Kluyveromyces lactis: one gene and its partner. The protein of the gene in region 1 purifies or fractionates together with the protein of each later gene. This does not show direct contact. Links are inferred from orthologs where the notes say so. Each region holds a gene or a part of one and is shown in the gene's direction. Other genes may lie near its edges. The genes, in order: MRP13 and AIM23.

Evidence for each region.
Region 2: the proteins of MRP13 (region 1) and AIM23 purify together in Saccharomyces cerevisiae (affinity purification with mass spectrometry; 3 studies listed by BioGRID). This does not show direct contact. The link is inferred for Kluyveromyces lactis from reciprocal best matches to the Saccharomyces cerevisiae genes MRP13 and AIM23.

Annotation. Positions count from the first base shown.
Region 1 is NC_006042.1:772,213-775,447, forward strand, and holds MRP13 (mitochondrial 37S ribosomal protein mS44 MRP13), read left to right. Parts: upstream 1-1,507; coding exon 1,508-2,473; downstream 2,474-3,235. Other genes in the region: RPL11A (60S ribosomal protein uL5), read left to right, coding at 1-491; KLLA0_F08283g (uncharacterized protein), read right to left, coding at 604-1,119; GCD2 (translation initiation factor eIF2B subunit delta), read left to right, coding at 2,913-3,235. UniProt on the Saccharomyces cerevisiae protein: Component of the mitochondrial ribosome (mitoribosome), a dedicated translation machinery responsible for the synthesis of mitochondrial genome-encoded proteins, including at least some of the essential transmembrane subunits of the mitochondrial respiratory chain.
Region 2 is NC_006041.1:1,376,560-1,379,695, forward strand, and holds AIM23 (Aim23p), read left to right. Parts: upstream 1-1,539; coding exon 1,540-2,583; downstream 2,584-3,136. Other genes in the region: URA2 (bifunctional carbamoylphosphate synthetase/aspartate transcarbamylase), read left to right, coding at 1-868; KLLA0_E15401g (uncharacterized protein), read right to left, coding at 2,689-3,136.

The DNA of each region.
Region 1 (3,235 bases):
TGAAGATCGAGAAATTGGTCTTGAATATTTCTGTTGGTGAATCTGGTGACAGATTGACCAGAGCTTCCAAGGTTTTGGAACAATTGTCTGGTCAAACTCCAGTTCAATCCAAGGCTAGATACACTGTCAGAACTTTCGGTATCAGAAGAAACGAAAAGATTGCTGTCCACGTTACTGTTCGTGGTCCAAAGGCTGAAGAAATCTTGGAAAGAGGTTTGAAGGTCAAGGAATACCAATTGAGAAACAGAAACTTCTCTGCTACCGGTAACTTCGGTTTCGGTATCCAAGAACACATCGATTTGGGTATCAAGTACGACCCAGGTATCGGTATTTACGGTATGGATTTCTACATTGTCATGGGTAGACCAGGTGCCAGAGTCACCAGAAGAAAGAGATGTCAATCTAAAATCGGTAACTCTCACAAGACTTCCAAGGAAGACACCATCGCTTGGTTCAAGCAAAGATACGATGCTGAAGTTTTGGACAAATAAACAACCCATTTAAACTGAAAAAGTGTCCTATCTATCGTTTTATCAAAGCAAGAATATTATTATATCGTAATATATAGATAAATTATTATTTTTACTGCAAATATTAGAATATCTATATTGTTGCCTTTTCTAAATTGTCATTCAACGTCAACCGCCAGCGGTTATTCAATGAATCAATTTCCTGTCTATGAGATTCTTCCATGTTAGTTCTGTATTGAGATAATTGTTCCAACTGTTGTTTCTGAGTTTCTAGCACACCTCTGATCTGTTCTGTAACTGACTTCAACATTTCTTCTTGTACAATAAGCTGTTTCGGCAGCGTTTTGGATATCAGTCTTTCGAGACACAATTCCTGGTGCTTCAAATATGCGTATCGGACTTCTGCGGACATTTCTGGTCTCTCAAGCCATATTTGACTTCTCCATTTTTCAATATTGCCATCCACATCCTCATAAACATTGAAACTTTCCCTCAAACAGCCGTTTACTTCAATTTCTTCTCGAAATATGTCTGCCACCTTGCTGTGTAACGTCGTCTCATCGCTGGTTACACCATTGGCTTCAAGAGTAATTTTCTCGAGATACTCTTGATATCCCAACTCAGTATTCATTTTCAGTACAGAGTTCATGTTTGGTCTGGTTATTTAGTCTTTTCGGAGCTGGAATTAGCGAAGAGTGTTTCTTAGAACAGCTTATCGATGATTGCAATTAAGCATAAGTGCCCCAATGTCTTTATGCATAGACAGGTTTTTAATATGGTTTTTGATATCATCTTGTACGTGTTGAAAAATTTCATGTTTTCAACATTTCTATGTAGAGCGGAAACTAGCCAGAGGAAAGCTTGAAGATTGAATCACCACATCACAGTAGAAAAACACGCTTCATCAGCTGCAATCATTGGGATAACTCATCGGTTATTGGCAGAGGTAACACAATTAATACTCTGATTTGGTTGAAAAAGCCAGCGGTAGGAACAAAGGTCTGATTTTAATCCTCATATAACAGTCAAAGCAGCGAATGTTCTCTCGGTTTTTCACAAGATCGGTTTCAACTGGTGTAGAGTCTCGTGCGGTCTTTGACAACTTCTTACAATTTGTCAAGACACCACAGACTCTAAGACCATACATCTACCGCAAAAAGAATGCTAACCGTTTGTTGGCCATGGATTTGAAAGATCCAGAAACTAAACTTCCTATTCAACCTAGACCATCAGTGTTAAGACCAAGTGCATCAGTTCTCAATAGCGTCATATTGAACGCATCGTCAGCTGAAGAGTTGGAAAACATGGTTAGAGATTGGAAGAATATCACACCTAGAAGGAAAGAGTTCTGGAGTTATTTGATTCCCCAGCATCTACAAAACATGTTGTTAACTTCCACTTTCAAGTTTGGTGCTTTAGGAGCAGTTTTGAATGTTCTGTACCAAATACAGCCATTATTGGTGAAAGCAAAGCAATTAGAAGCCTATAACGTAGATGTATGGTATAATACTGTATTGATGTGTCAATTGCATAGAAATGCGTTCCAAAACGTTCAAGATTCCGGCATGGTAGAGAGAGGCCTAAGGAAGTTATCATCGACTGTTACCAAAAGAGAAGATACAACTGGTTTAACAAAGGAAATTGTTCAAGCTTTGGGTAGACAACAGAACGTTGAGGTGAAATTACCTAATTTCGCTAGAAATATTGAAATTAACTTGCCATCGATCGATGTTAGCACTGCAAGCCAAAATCAATTAAGGACTTTCTTGACAAAGAACACCACCCAGTATTTGTTGAGCAGAACAGCATTAGACTTCGGCTCAACTGAAGCTAAGCTGCAACAGTTTGTTGAAAACTATCAAGCCGTTTTAGCGCAAAACTCGGTTGCTGACATTTACGACAAATACGTATCCCAATACAAACAGCTGTTAACTCAAAAGGCTACTGAATCTGAAACGACAGAAGAAGCTCATGCAGATGCACAAGCAGAAGAAACGAAATAAAGGATAGACTTATCCGTAACCAATATTTCCCAGAACCGTTCATGTATATATATATAAGAATCAACGTCAGTTAAGAATATTACTAGAAATTCAAAAAACATTAACAAAATGACCATAATTCATAAAGAAACTCACACAATATACTTCTATTATATAATTATTGATGTGCCGTCACGGATTCATCGCAAATTGAGTAAATGTTCGTCAATTAGCGCCTGGTACCATGTCACTCCCGCTAGCCAACTCGGGCACTGAGTTTGTTCGATCTGCAAGGAAATCACCGTCAACGAGTTTTCCATCATTCTTTTTAAGAATTTCAATTTTGGTGAAATTATTCAAAAGCTGACATAAATACCAATCGATGATCTCGCAGTTCCTGTGATCCAACGGAAATCTATTGGCAAATAACGGTATACTTTGAGGTATCAAATCACCAATAATGACAGGAGGAGCTAAGGAGGCTTCAGGGAAAGAAACTAATACTGAAAAGACGGCAAATGCACAAGAAGGAGAAAAACCTTTATCTAATAAAGAGTTGAAGGAACTGAAAAAGAAGGAGAAGGCTGCAAAGAGAGCAGCCAGTAAGCAAGCTAGTGGTATCTCTATTGAAAAACAGCAGCAGCAAGCTGCTGCTAAGCGTGAAAAGAAGCAGCAACAAAGAGATCTCTTAGCTGCAAAAAAGAATAAAGCAGCCGACCCGGTCAAACATGATACCAAGAAGTCGACTCTATTTGGTCATCTAGAGACTGCTGAAGAAAGAAG
Region 2 (3,136 bases), on another chromosome or scaffold:
TCTCTTCGCAGTTGCTCAAGAGCTCAGAGCTGGTGTTGAAAGGGAAGGTGTTTTGGACGTCATGAAGAGCCGTGTTTTGACTACAATGTTCTACGAACCATCAACCCGTACATCATCTTCATTCATTGCTGCTATGGAACGTTTAGGTGGTAGAACTGTCAACATTAACACTTCTGCATCTTCTGTTAAGAAGGGTGAAACATTGCAAGATACCATCAGAACATTAGCCTGTTACTCTGATGCAATTGTCTTGAGACATCCAGACGAAATGTCTGCCCACATTGCTGCCAAGTACTCACCTGTTCCTATCATCAACGGTGGTAACGGTTCTCGTGAACATCCAACTCAAGCCTTCTTGGATCTATTCACTATTCGTGAAGAATTGGGTACTGTCAACGGTATCACTGTTACCTTTATGGGTGACTTGAAGTTCGGTAGACCAGTTCACTCCTTGTGTCGTTTGCTACAACATTACCAAGTTAGAATTAACTTGATCGCTCCTAAGGAATTGAGGTTGCCTAATGCCTTGCGTAAAGAATTGCAAGATTCTGGCTTATTAGGTATTGAAAGTGAAACACTAACACCTGAAATCATTTCCAAATCCGATGTGTTGTACTGTACAAGAGTGCAACAAGAAAGGTTCGAAACCGAGGAAGATTACTTGAAGCTCAAGGACACTTACATTGTTGACAATAAGATCTTGTCTCATGCTAAACAACAGATGGTGGTCATGCACCCACTACCTCGTGTTAATGAGATTCGTGAAGAGGTTGACTACGATCATCGTGCAGCTTACTTCAGACAAATGAGATATGGTTTGTTTGTCAGAATGGCATTGTTAGCCATGGTTATGGGTGTTGAATTATAAAGGAGCTAAACAGATTCGCGTTCGGAACTTTTTTCAGAATCAATCCAAAATCAAACAAAATAATTTAAACATGGAAGTAAATCGTTCATTTTACTTTAAATTCATCAGAAGGAATTCCTTAAACTAAGAAAACTCTTTTTTTGTGGGGACTTGAAAAGAGATATTTAATCGGAGGAAGAAAACTGATGAAATATGACTAAACTACCTTCATCTGTACCATAGTAATACAAGGACTTTCATAGTAGGAAAATAACTTCCTTAAAATTACAAAGTGACTTTTATCTATTGCACTTTCTATTCTTTGAAATGCTCAAAATTTCAGATACAATTAGTATATTTTGACATATATATCATTTTGTCGTACATATATAGTTCAAAGGTTTATCCTTACATTCACATCTGCATCGTTTAATACATTAATATTTCGCATCGACTTTATTTTCATTCTATTGTTCTCTTTTGTTTGAACCTATTCAGCTGTCAGTCTCTAGGCAAAACCAGCAACATATTAGTAAAAATGATCACGTGACAGATATCAACGCTTTCCCTTCTCTGTCAGAATATCTCAAAATCTTAATATGAAAGACAGTTGTATTTTTTTGATTTGATTAAGTTCAAGTCATCTCCGATGATAGAATTGCCTTGAAATGTGGTACGTTGGGCTGAAATAAATGAAGTACCACTATATACAGATGCTCAGAACTACTTTTAAATACAGCATTTCTTCAATACGTTTATTTTGCAATAATCGGGTTCTCCAGAACGAATCAAGGGCTGTATCGGATCTTCTTTTTAACCTACCAACATACAATCCAGCGACACATCGAAAGAGCGGTAACAATTCTCCACATAAAAATCGTGATAAACACCGCCATAGAAACGGTAATAAAGATCAACGGAATAAAAAACTTGTTTTCAGATGGAATAGTGGAACAGAGAAACAGCAGGCAGCTGCCAACTCGGTGCTAGAGGAAATACTAGCAATAAATTCAAAGGGTAACATCAAGGCAATCAATCCAGAAACTAGCAAGCTAGAAGAAGCCAATATTAGGAACTTTTTGAAGGGCGTTAACCTTGAGATAAATGGGATAGCTATGGTGAGTATCGATAATGCTGCGTCCGGAGATGTTCGTCTACCCATTGTCAAAGAAGTGCCAACAAGACAGGCATTAAAGAATTATTCCGACAAACTATCTAAAATTAAAGAAGAAGAACTTATAAAATTGGGTGTCAATATAAAGAAAACTGGCCGTCGCTCTCCAGACTCGAAAGCGGATTCATCTTGGAAATCAATCAAGGTTTCATGGCAAATATCGGATTATGATTTGAAAAAACAGAAATGTAGTGAAATTGTTTCTAATTTGGAAAAAGGTAGCAAGATTGCTCTTTTCATTAATGATAAAGACTCTTCTAACTTGTCACCTATAGATGAGGAGGAATTAGAAGCGATGCAGGAATCTTCTATTTCTAAAAAGGAAATGAAAAGAAGGGAAGAGGTTTTGGAGAAGCTAAACGAAATAATCAGCGAATATTCATCACAGATTACACAAGAAGGTTTGATCAATCAAAGAATAATTATGAAAGTAACTCCAAATCTTGTAAATACTAATAATGGAGTTGATAAAAAAGCTCTCAAGGAGCAACGGAAACGGGAAAGGCAGGAAAAGCTGCAACGCAGAATTGAGAAGAAAAAAACCAGCGATTCCACCGAATAACCAGGAAATATCTCGGACGATAGACGTTATAATGGCATATGTATCTTGTAAATATTGATAATTAGCGTACATATATCGAAAAATTTCACGTAATTGTGATGTATTCTAATGAATCAATAATGCTCCGATTAGCGAAAGGTCATGTAAGTCACCGTAGCCAAATTGTGGAATGGAAACTAATAAGTCATCTAATGGGGACTCAGCCAAATTGGAGCCGAAATTAGACCAACCCTTTTTCTTTTGCTCGGGGTTAACGAATTCAAGGTGTTTTAAAGCGGTTATGAGCAAATGTTTGGATCTCCAAAGTTCAACTGTTCTCTTCATTTCTGACATAGAGACACTCCAGATAGCACCAGCGCCATTAAAACTGCCCGGAGAAGAAAGAAATAGCCTTTTCCGGGAGTGTGAGAAGTGAACACCCTTACCAAACTCAATAGAGGACTTGACAGTGTTAAGGTCAACTAATGTGTCAAGTTCCAATATTAACCAGACCTCTAGTGCAGAGTTGCCAGCATCTTTGAATATGTAGACCTTATTGAAGAGCAACTGTGAT